3 linked regions of the Coturnix japonica genome follow. The protein of the gene in region 3 purifies or fractionates together with the protein of the main gene of each other region. This does not show direct contact. Links are inferred from orthologs where the notes say so. Each region holds a gene or a part of one and is shown on either strand. Other genes may lie near its edges. The genes, in order: RPL35A, KDR and PTPN6.

Region 1 (4,047 bases), on a different chromosome or scaffold from region 3:
GTACCTGAGTGAAGGTGAGGGCAACCTCTTCCCTGCCTCAGCAGTCACCACCCACTCAGGGTACTGATGATTCCTTTGGGGAGTGAAAGAAGACTATGACATCAGCAGCAGCCATGACAACCTGCAGCTGCCCGAAGCTTCCCTTAAAGTCATACGGTATCTTTTTATGCACTAAGAAAATCGCACTTTAAGAATCTTTAAATCCACTTTCATTGCCTTTCTGTTTGACAAACCTCACACTCACACACACGAGACAAGGAAATATTTCTCATTTTCTATAGAAAACTTGGGGGCACGGTCTACAAAGACTGCAAACATTTATTGTTTGGACCTACATGCCATTCAGATTCTACATTGGAGGCAATGATAAAGGCTGGCAGTTATTTGCCTTTTCAAAGGCAGCCTGCTCAACAGATGCCTTTAACAAGTACGGGTCAAATCTCCAGCTTAGGAGCTAGTTTAGAGTCACTCCTACATCAGTGTGCTGTGTACTGTGGTACACTACTGAAGAATCAAAGCTCTCAATATAGGTGGAGGGGATGAAAAAGAGGAAAGTACAAAAATGGAACAGATTATTCTGTATTTTATTTCCAATAAAAATTTAGATCCTGGATGGATACAGCATCTGAAAAACACAACAACAGAATCACGTTAGAATTCCTGTTATTGGACTGTACAAGTCAGCAAATTTATAGCTATCATCTGAATCATGGATCTCTTCAACTATTTTAAGTGACTCCCATTTATGCAGAAAAGGGGCAGGAAAGTCTAACAAGGAGCTGAGTGACGTGAAGCAGCATCTGATGGTATCAAAGCTCCCACCCAGCAGTCACTCTCCTGCTCAGCCTTCCCATGCCTACTTTGAGGACTCTGCCATGCAGCTCATGCAGTTATATGGGGAGTAAGAGAAGTTGATGCCGCAGCTCCCTTGCCACTAGGTAGGAAATGAGGCAGAGTACAAAAAGCAATGGTGCAAGATGAGATTACGAGGCAGCCCAAAGGCTGACAAGGAGCCCCTGGTTCCTAATGCTGCTCACCACTCGGATCCTGTGTCCGATGGCCTTGGCGGGGAGGTTGGAGCGGAACTTGGCACGAACCATCCCGCTGTTCCCATGGGCGCGGGTCACCTTCCCCCAGATCACCCGCGTCCTGTTGGGTTTCCCACCGGGGGTGACGGTGTTGCTGAGGGAACAAAAAGACACAGAACTCAGTGTGTTTCCTTTGGAATGAACCTGGAGTATCTTAACGTAGGATTTCTCCAGTCACACCACAGGCACAAAGGGCCTCAGGCATCGAGACAGGCAGCAGCTACAAGAAGCCACGTGCCACCCTTGAAATGACAGCAGTGATGAACAGCCTGACAAATTTATTACAGGGAATTCCACATCTGACATCAGAACAACCACTCTCAAAGAAAAATCAAGCAGAAGACAATAAACAATTGTTCTTAAAGCCTCTACCACTGCAGGCACAGCAGAGCTGTGACACACACACACAAGGGCTGCTCTATCAACTTCTTTTTGCCTGGCAAAATATTCCACCTCTAAGGATCTCAAAAACTCAATGATCACCACAAACTCATCTCGCTTCAATTTGCTGCCAACCAACTGACTGCTCACATCCCGGCATTTGCAAAAGATAATAAAAGACGACCAACTTACTTCTTAGCTTTGTAGACATAGGCACATCTCTTGCCTAAGTAGAACTCTGTCTCCTGGCGAGCGTAAACACCTTCAATTTTCAGCAGGGCAGTGTGCTCCCGCTGGTTCCGGAGGCCACGTTTGTAGCCAGCAAAAGTGGCCTTGCACCACAACCTAAAGACATGGAGAAAGAACAGATTAACTCAGTTTAACACATTAAACTTTGGTTGGAAGGGACCTCAAAGCCCACCGTGTACCATGGGCTGGATGCCTCCACCAGCTCAAGCTGCCCAGGGCCCATCCAACTTGGCCTTGGGCACCTGCAGGGAGGGGGCACCCACAGCTTTGGGTAGCACTGCTGGTTCCTCAATGCTTAATGAGTATAAAAACATCTTCACATCTCACAGAAATCTATTAGGCCATGTAAGAAGTTGGTCCCCCCTTCTGTTTCTATGTTCCCTTCAAGGCTGAACTGCTACAGCCAGCTGAAGACAGGGGTTTCAAGAGAGCAACACAAACGTAGCGATGTAACACACACACACAGAGATCGCCCTGTGTGTGCACCGGGCAGCGCCGTGCTGGGACAGCAGAGACTCAGCGGTGCCGTCAGCACAGCGCAGCTCCCCATCCAGCCGTACAGACACAGGCAGACACTCACCTCCCGGTCATGGCGTCCTCGTGCAGCGCAGTCCCGGCAGCTCAGCCTACAAACAACACACCCCGCTCAGTGCCCACAGCCCGACAAGGCCTCAGCACCGCGGGCTGCAGCGGGCCGGCTCCGGCTCCTCACAGCGCAAGGCCCCGCCGGCACCTCAGCTCCCTTCAGCCCCAGAGCCGACACCATCCGCCGTGTATCGGCGCCATCCCGCCCGCTCCACACCCGACACCCCGCCATCCGCCCCGCCCCGGTGTCCCCGCCGCCGCCGGGATGGTCATTGCCCGACACAACGCCCGACACAACGCCCGACACAACACCCCGCCCGCCGCACCCCGCTCACCAGCACGGCGCGCAGCCAAGATGGCGGCCAAAGGACGAGGCGGCGCGCGGCCCGCCGGGATTGCGGCTCTAAGGGCCCCGGCTGCGGGCTGCCCGTGTCACAGCCTGAGCGCACACGGTACGGGCCGACACAGCGCTGGGTGTGCACCGATATCGGTGCCTTTTGTCGTCCCTCGCCATGTCCGTGAGTCCCGTTACTCCTCCGGGCGGCGATGAGGGAACAGGCCTCGGCACCCGCAGGGACAGCCCCGCCAGGACCCCGGGCGCCATGGAGACGGCGTCGCGTTGAGCGCCGCGGAACGGTACTGAGCGGTGAGGGAGAGGGGTGGGCTTTGGTTTAGTGTTACTAACACCATCCCACCTCTATTCCTCTTTATTCCTCTTTACAAGAGCACAGGCACTAAAGAAATGGAGAAGCTCCCTCGGCTGGAAGCTCTGCTGCTCACTGCTGTGCTGGAGAATTGCATCGATCAGCTCGCCATCCTCGGGTACATCATGCCGGTTTCACAGGAGGGCAAGGCAGATGTCAGCAGTGTATGTGCCTCTGTGTTTGCTCTCATTTTTCTCAATGCCTTTTATGTCTTCTGTCAGCATTCTATAAGTCTCCACACAGGTACTTGTCTCTTTGGCATGGCTGTGTGAAGGACCCTGGTGACATAAGATGAGCTTCTGAGGCTTCATTCTACAACCTCAGTGGTCAGATGATAAGTAAAGGATCAGGGGAAAATAAACAACAGATGGCTGACGTCTCCTAAGTGCACAGCTTTATAAATAATAAAGAACAGGGACTTTGATAATACCCCAAATCAGGGTCATTCTGATACTCTATAAGCACACACTGAAGCTCCTCTAGTCCCCACAGACAACAAAATAAGACAGATTTCCCTTCAAAAATCTATTAGTAACTACTCATTATTAATGCCCGTTATTAATGAGTTGATTTCTAATAGACACCGTAACTAAGTGGTTCTGGGGAGAGGCATAAAGTAGAGCAGAAGCTGCTCGACATAACTGTAGTGCTCGATCAATGCTCCGGCTGCGCTATAGAGGGCACTGCTCTCCTTAGAGAGCACCCTGAGCCCGTCTCACCTGTTGGCCGAGGATGCTTTTCTCCCACAGATGGGGCTGTGAAAGCTCCGCTGTGCCAGCTGATCTGATACAGCAGATCCCGAGAATGGTGGGCGCAGTTCTCCTTCTCCCTCACACACACTGAGGCTGACAGACCTCCTAGAGGTACACTTGGTTTTTCTCTTCAAACACAGAGGCTCGTTTTTACTAAGTAGTTTATTTCTTAAGACACAACTTTCCCATGGAGTACAATCCTCAAATCAAGGAGGAAGCAGTTTAGAAACCAGAAAATGGCTCTGGAGAAGCCAACTTTTAGAGCCTCAGTCACTGTGTTGCTTGTTC
Region 2 (4,061 bases), on a different chromosome or scaffold from region 3:
CAGAAGAGAAAGTCAAAAAGCAGAAAACAGAGTGAAAAGGTAGCAGGTTTAAGTATGGATTCAAAATTAAGCAATGCATGGTTACATAAGAGCAGGGGGCAACATTTCAGCTGCAAGTGAGACGGAAGAAAGACAAGTGGGAAAAAATCAAATAAGGCTTTAAGATAAACTGCTACTCCTCAGGCAACAGCCTCAATACAATTGGATCAACCATTCCTTAACTGAGCTCTATAAACTCAGAGGAGAATCAGGCTGTATAAGCAGTCTTCTCCTACGAGCCATTCTTTAAATGCAGTTACTTCCAACCATTAAAAATTACTGAAGTTTCTTTACTACAGGTACCCACAGAAGCGTTCATAGACCTGTACAATGGCAGAAATATCTAGATTTGTTAAGTGGCACTTAAGATAACTAGTACTTGATAAGTTTCCCTGTCAGTAGTCAGGATATAAGTAAATACAGGCAAGAGAAAATTTACCTGTACCCCCCACCTCTGTTTCCAGTCTCTTATAATAAAATGAAAAGCTTTATCTATTAAAAATGTTGTGACCCTCATGATGCTACAGAACACTGATATAAAATGTGAATAGTACAATATCCATTATATAATATATATATTTATATTTTAATATATTACATTTATTTCTACATAAGTAGGCTATAAATACTGTATATGCCTTATATCCATGGTTCCCAGCATCTGACTTTATAGTAAGTACAAACAAACAAAATAACCCAACAATATAAAAATACAAAAAAGAACTCAGTAGAAATAGCTTTACATTTTAAAACCTTGCAGTTTGCATTGTGTTTATCAATAGTGTTCTGGGACTACAAGAGCACAGTAAGAAGTTGTCCATCAACTACAGTCTCACCACTTGGAGAAGATTGGAGCTGCCATGAAATCAGTCACAGATTCCCACGACTACATAAATCACAATCTCTGCTGGTGCAAACAAACTTTGAGTTTGTCAGTGACAGATGTGGCTTACACCTGGGGAAGAAGGATGAGAAGAGAAGGCAGAGTGGCTTTCGGATAACCCATCAAGACCAAAGGGCTGTCTATGCTCCCAAAGTAAATGAACCCTCCCTCTCTATCTCTGCCCCAGTGGCAGCTCAGAGGAGAATTTTCCACAGCACTCCTGACTAGCTCACAGGTGATCAGGACCTTGGCAAGGACTAAGGGGGCTGGGGAGGGTGTGTGCAGAGACATCACCATGGCAAACATGCCCCATGCACCCATGTTCCATCATCACACCGTTTCTCCTAATGAATCTCACCAAGTACATCTTCCCCAAGGAAATGGAGATCACAGGGTTTAGTACAGCAACATTTTTCTCCACAAAGGACAGAGATCACCTCTCCCACCTATATTTAGCCCAGCCTATGTTTAGCCTTAGGCTATTGGTGAGTGCCAGAGCCTTGAGCTGGAGGTTCCTTTTATAGTTTGTGGAGGTGCAGGCATGGGATAACTCTGAGAAACAAGAAGCCAGCGCTGTGCCGTTTCCTTCCTGGAGTCCAGCCGGGAAAAACAAAAGAGCAGGCCTGTGTCATTATTTCGTACAATTAGCAACAGTTGAGCTGAACGCCATGCCACTGTCCGTGTTGGGCTCGGCCTGCCACCGAGGTCCTAAAGGCCATTACACTGCTTCTGTCATAGAGTTGGCACTGCATTCACACACCACAGCCATGACTTCCCATCCTCAGCCACAAGAGTCTTTGGAGGAATGCACCTCACAGCCTGGCACTGCCTTGGGGCTGCAAGATGCTTCTGTATCCTCTTCTTGAAAAAATAAACGTCTTTCCCTAGGCCCACAGCCGCAGTCTCTGCACACACCAAATGTGAATACCACCAGCCAAGGCAAGGAAGGCACATCCCAGGGGACCTGGAGCCACTGGTTTCGGCTTAGAGTGGCAGGGACGCAAGAGGCGCAGGGCTGTCATATGCCAGGCCATGCGCACGGGGCAGCGTGGGGGAGGCCTCCTGGGCACACAAGAGTTCTGTGTCTTCACTGGAGCAGACCATGTTGTCCATGTCGTCTGAGTGGTACCCTGACTGGTAGCCACTTGTCTGGTTGGATGCCTCGGACATGACAGACTCATTGCTTTTGCTGGGCGCCAGTGTGCTGCAAAAATAACAGATAGGTCAAGTCAGAGAGAAGCAGATTTGTCTTCTGGAAGACAAAGTGGGTGACTCCTGTGGGTAACTGCTTCACATCACAGCGACAACAAAAGCAAAACAGTGAATTCAACAAAACTGGCTTTGAGCCCTTTTAAATGTGTGTTTGATTACAAGGAGAAATCTTTTTATATGCCCTAACTAACCCTAATGAATGAAAAATATTTAATTTTATGATAGTAGGGAGTTAGATTGCAACTGTAGATGAAATGGAGATAAAACCTGGGTATGTTTTGTTCAGTACAGCCACAGTGCAATCATGACTGCTATACACCTTTGTTTGTATGAAATAATTCCTCTGAGAAGCTCTCAGAAAGCATAAGTCAGATGAATGCCACTGTATTTCCTGTGAACTGCACAATTGAATCCCTGTACAATGCTCTGAAAATACACCCAGGTACATCCTGAAAACTCAAGAGCTAGTTTCAGAAGAAAGAAAGAAAGAATAACAAAAAAGAGCTCTTTGTCATCCCAGTTGTGTTACTGGCTCAGTTCCTTCAAGGGGTGGTTGATGCTTTTGCAGCTGGTAAATACAAGTCCCTTCTATGTTGTGCTACCTTCCCTCTCTTGGTACAAAATGCAGATGGCCAGATACACAATGAAAAACTTTTCTTTGTGTGGTTTTAAGAATTCAGTAAGAAAAGTTTTTGTATTTTAACAAAATCTACAAACCTATCAGTGCTCTGAATCACTACAAGAAAAAATCCATATTCAATCCTATTTGCAGCCTGAGCCTTACCTGAAGGGTATTTTGACTTGTTTATCTTGCTCTTCCAGAGTCTTTAGCTCTTCAGATGCAAGAACCATCCCACTGTCTGTCTGGTTTTCCTATAAAAGTGGTTAAAATGCATTAAATGGAAAGGGGATTAAAAATAAGAAAAAAAAATAACACACATCAATAAAAGGAGAAGACATTGAAAGAACAGTCTCACCTCCTGAACAACTTTTACAGTGGTCACCAATGGGATATCTTCAAACGTTTTCACACTCACGGGTCGGCTTTTTCTTTTGCTACCTTGTCGGTACTGACTGAAAAGAAAACAAAAACAATCGCTTTGCATCCACTATCCACAACTGGGCTGAAAACAGCACAGTGATATCAGTATCCTTTTATCTCTCTACAGAGAAATTAATCCTTCTGTCAAAACATATTATGCAAACCTCAAAATATCCATTTATTGAAAAGGACAAACTGCCTAACAAGTGGCAAGTTTCTGACCTCCTGCTCCTGACAGCCTTGATCTCTGAGCAAATTCTAAGAAACAGCTTTGAAAAAACAGCTCCTTTCCTCAGTTACACTGGAGGGCTTCACTTCCTGCAAGCTTTGCTCAGAAGTATAATAAACAGAGGAGCCTGGAACACAGACATGTGTCTCTTTCTTTGGGTTGAACTTCTGGGACCCCTGCCTGGACCCAGGACAACAACAGCAGACTCAGCAGACTGACGCCCTTAAACCATGGGGATCGGCACAGGCAGGGCTGCATCTCTCCTGAAGGCTCTCCTCCAAAAGAAGCCCTTTGGTCAGGATGACATCCATAAAAAATATTAGACCAAAAAATAACAAATAGAAAAACTGGAGTTTCATGGAGGTACTAATAAAGCAAACACAACAGCCTTCTCTCTAAGTGGATCTGGGATAAAATGGATGTTGTCTCAGTTAAATAGCTCCAATTTATGTTCCTGACAGCCAATGGAGAAAAACACACTCTGGGCACTATGGAGTTAGAAGAGAAACCTGCACATACTTGTGCAAAGCTGAAGGCAATACAAGGCATCACTCATCCCATTTCCCAGCTTTGAGTTTAGATATGCCAAGTCCTGCCAGTCTCCTGTTGATTTTAATTAGCCCCAAATATTCTTTAAAATTCTCTGTTTTCCCTAT
Region 3 (3,645 bases):
AGGAGGACCTGTCTGCACCCCAGGAAGCAGTGTGTCCCCATCCCAGAGCACAACATGACACTCCCCAAGCTGCATCAGCAAGCCTGAACACTTGATGCAAGGGCAAAACCACCTGATTTGGTTTAGGAACTTTGTGTCAGAGAGGTATGCAAAGTGGGGACAGGAAGGAGACTCAGCAGGCTGGGAATAGCAGGTGAATGTGGGCCCCACTCAGCCACATGAGTCAACCAGGACCAAATGAGCAGGTCTGGGGCAAGGCTGAGGGCTCCCACACACCAAGTCACCCCCACGTACCACTGAGGATACATAACTAACGCCACAACCCCTGCTTTTTATGAACAGTACAGAAATCACAAAGGCGACAAGAAACTGGAAGTATGAATAGATCCCCATCAAGTCTGCTCTGCTGTCAAGCTACATCCAGCTACTGCTGAGGATGGTGTCTCTGCAGAAACACAGGAGGATGCGGGAGCCAGGAGATGCATTTTGCAAGGTTCTCTCTAGAGATGTGGGCAAGGAAGAGAGAAGGGCATGAAACATCACCACAGCCATACCAATGCTTGGTTTTCTCCATACCTCTCTGTAGTGGGATCAGAACAGTTGAGCGGATATCGCAAGTCAATGATGGTTCCATCTTTGTCTTGCAGTGAGCCCTGCTGCTGCGTGTAGTACTGCACCAGCTCTGCAAGGGTGGCAAACTTCTCCCCTCCATACAGGTCATAGAAATCCCCAGTGTTCTGGATACGGATGTGGGTTACCTGATCACCAACCCTGAGGGATGAGGCACAGAGTAGACTGGTGAGATGGCTGAATAAAAACCAGAAAATGTGGAGCCCCTTCCTGCATCACCTCCTAACATGGAACTGCAGCAAACCATCCCAGTGGAAGGAGATGGCTGGAAGAAGAAGCTCTTGAGGAAAGTTAAGGCAGAGTCTAGAAGGGTCTGGATAGCTCAGGTCCTTTTACAGCTTGGATAGAAGTCAGAGGAATAAGGACAGGTTGAAGGAGAGACCGTAGGACAAATGAGGACCTAAGCATGTTGCACATGTAACCTTGGAAAGACAGCAGTTGAAGTCCAAATTACCTACCTAACTGAAAGGGAAAAATCCCCTTGATTCTTTCGACTGGGTCTGGCTAGAAAGCTCCCATGGACACCTCGTCCCTTCAGTAAGGCTTCAGCTTCCAGCCCACTCAGGTCACGATGAAACCACCTACAAAAGGAGATGAAAACAGAAACAAGTAAACATAAAATGCCAGGTACCACTGTTGTACAGTGAAGAATGGCTTCCAGTCATCTTCCTTAGGTAGACCTATGCAGATGACAGCCAGCAACAGCACAAGCACCCTTTGTACCCACCATTTTCCCAAGCCTATGAAGGATTACAGCTGAGATACAGCTATCAGTGTGATCCCCTCTGAGCTTGTTCCCCTGCCTACACACACACACACGCACACACACTTGTCAGACCCTCTTACCTCACCATTGTGAAGGGAAAAAAGAAGGGGAGGTCAAGTGGCTATCACCAAAGCAACTCAAAAAATACAGAGGAAAAGTCACTTTGCGCTGGTGAGAAAAGGGAAGTTGGAGATGAGCGATGGAGCAACCGATACTAAGTTGTTTCTGCTTCTCTTGGGAGCTGGCCATGTATCCCTCCTGCAGTCTACCGTCAGCCCATTCAGTGCCTCTCCATCACTGGTTCTGGATATGTGCCTTGATCTCCTGGCTCTCTGTGCGCTGCTGTAGTGCAGGGGTAGGAGCAGCCTGGTGCGCAGCTGAACGCACGCGGCTCCAGGAACAGGAAGCACTCTGAACCATCAGCTCCTCAGCCCCAAGCTGCTTTGCACACACTTCTGCTTCTCCTTTTGTGTCTTTCCTCCCCAGCCCCTTGTTATTCTCAGGCCCTTGCTTTTTTTTCTCTTTTTTTTTTTTCCACATCAGGTTTGGCTCTATAAGTGCTTTTAGGGACCCAGCTGTGGTCACAGATTTCAGTTCTGCAAGACCTCTGTTCTCCTTCTTTCCCGTGAGGTCGGTAAGAAACACAACTGCTCCCCACACCAAAGTCCTTGCAGTGGTACTAAGGTGACCACAGCTCCCTTAAGGTCATCCACACATCTGCAAGGGTAAAATGGGCAGCACATGCTGGTACACATTCAGCAATAAAGCAGCCTACAAATCATGACCACCTGCATGGTGCAATGCACCTGGCTCTGCAGGGCTCCTCTCAGCCATGCAGCTGAAACCTCCACCACCCCAATAGGCAGGTAAACATCCCATGTGCTCTAAGCAGCCAAAGGGGGAATCCGAGTAAAGCCAGGTGTGCAGAATTTAAGAGGCATAGGCCAGCACTCTAAGCACAGCTACCACACAGGGTAGCTGAGATGTGTGATGTCGGCAGCAGGAACAGCAAGAGATTTGTTCATTTCACACAGCAGCAGTTGCAGACTTCCCTACATACCACGACCAAGAAATCTTGCAAAGAACTGAACAGGCTGCTCACAATGGTCAAGACATACAGAAACTAACAGCAGAGGGAAGTACAGGAGACACAAATGGGGAAACTAAACTTCATTGCTAGAAAGACAGATCAGGCAACAAAAAAACAGCTTCTTTTAAAACACTTCCAGTTTCACACACAGACGATAAGATGGGATGTGGTAAGCTGCAGGAATCCAGCTGCACTGACTTAAAACTGATATTAAAAGAGGGAAACTTTAAAGGCACAGAGACTCAATGAAGGAAATGTTATACAACGAATATACTACCAACTAAAAGCACTGGTGTGTTACCAGAGGTGTTATACTCCTAGAACCAAAACACAGCATTATACCAGATGCTATGAAGGGAAAACCAACTCTAGATGGTTTCACACAGTGGCACAGGACATGGGTATATTTCCAGTCACTTGGTGGTTGTTGCATTTGTCATCACCCAGGAGTCAGTGCAGCACTGGCCACTTCTTTCTTCAGTAATATTTAAAGCTCATTGGATGGCCTTCACTTCTGCAAATTGCCTCAATGCAACTTCAGTAGCTTCTGCAACTCATCATGTAGGACTCCATACAGCAGCCTTCCACCTCTAATGCTTTCCCACAATACAACAGGACCCATCAGTGAACAAGTCATGTTGCTTTTCACACTCAGGTAGTGTATACATAGCAAATAGTACAATAGCTCAAGTTGGAAAGGACCCATAAGGATCATGGAGTCCAACTCCCGACTCCACACAAGACCACATGTCTGAAAACATCATCCAGATGCTTCTTAAGCCTCAGCAAACTCAGGACTGTGATCACTTCCCCAGGAGATTCTGTTTTGGGGCCCAATCACCCTCCACTGAAGAACCTTTTCCTGATATCCAGCCTGAACCTTTCCTGTTGCAGCTTCATGCCATTCCCTCAGGTTCTATCACTTGTCATCAGAGAGAGGAGATCCTCATGAGGAGCTGTAGGCCACGATGAGGTCTTCCCTCAGTCTCCTCTTCTCTTGGCTTAAAAAACCCAAGGACTTGAGCCATTTCTCATGTATCTTCCCCTCTAGACCTTCCACCATCTTAGTAAGCCTTCCTTTGGACACTCTCTAATAGTTTTAAGTCCTTTTTATACTGTGGCACCCAAAACTGAACACAATGATCAAAGTGAGGCAGCA

The links.
Region 1: the proteins of PTPN6 (region 3) and RPL35A purify together in Homo sapiens (affinity purification with mass spectrometry; 3 studies listed by BioGRID and IntAct, with this or other methods). This does not show direct contact. The link is inferred for Coturnix japonica from reciprocal best matches to the Homo sapiens genes PTPN6 and RPL35A.
Region 2: the proteins of PTPN6 (region 3) and KDR purify together in Homo sapiens (affinity purification with western blotting; 3 studies listed by BioGRID and IntAct, with this or other methods). This does not show direct contact. The link is inferred for Coturnix japonica from reciprocal best matches to the Homo sapiens genes PTPN6 and KDR.

The regions. Positions count from the first base shown.
Region 1 is NC_029524.1:13,176,545-13,180,591, reverse strand, and holds RPL35A (60S ribosomal protein L35a), read right to left. Parts: upstream 2,749-4,047; 5' UTR 2,639-2,748; intron 2,345-2,638; 5' UTR 2,310-2,344; coding exon 2,299-2,309; intron 1,815-2,298; coding exon 1,662-1,814; intron 1,183-1,661; coding exon 1,038-1,182; intron 626-1,037; coding exon 602-625; 3' UTR 566-601; downstream 1-565. Other genes in the region: IQCG (dynein regulatory complex protein 9), read left to right, coding at 2,850-2,939, 3,028-3,171.
Region 2 is NC_029519.1:58,827,886-58,831,946, reverse strand, and holds the end of KDR (vascular endothelial growth factor receptor 2), read right to left. Parts: intron 3,209-4,061; coding exon 3,112-3,208; intron 3,008-3,111; coding exon 2,919-3,007; intron 2,127-2,918; coding exon 1,907-2,126; 3' UTR 596-1,906; downstream 1-595. UniProt on the Homo sapiens protein: Tyrosine-protein kinase that acts as a cell-surface receptor for VEGFA, VEGFC and VEGFD. Plays an essential role in the regulation of angiogenesis, vascular development, vascular permeability, and embryonic hematopoiesis.
Region 3 is NC_029516.1:69,602,682-69,606,326, reverse strand, and holds part of PTPN6 (tyrosine-protein phosphatase non-receptor type 6), read right to left. Parts: intron 1,848-3,645; exon of another isoform or gene 1,485-1,847; coding exon of another isoform or gene 1,477-1,484; intron 1,212-1,476; coding exon 1,089-1,211; intron 772-1,088; coding exon 577-771; intron 1-576. UniProt on the Homo sapiens protein: Tyrosine phosphatase enzyme that plays important roles in controlling immune signaling pathways and fundamental physiological processes such as hematopoiesis.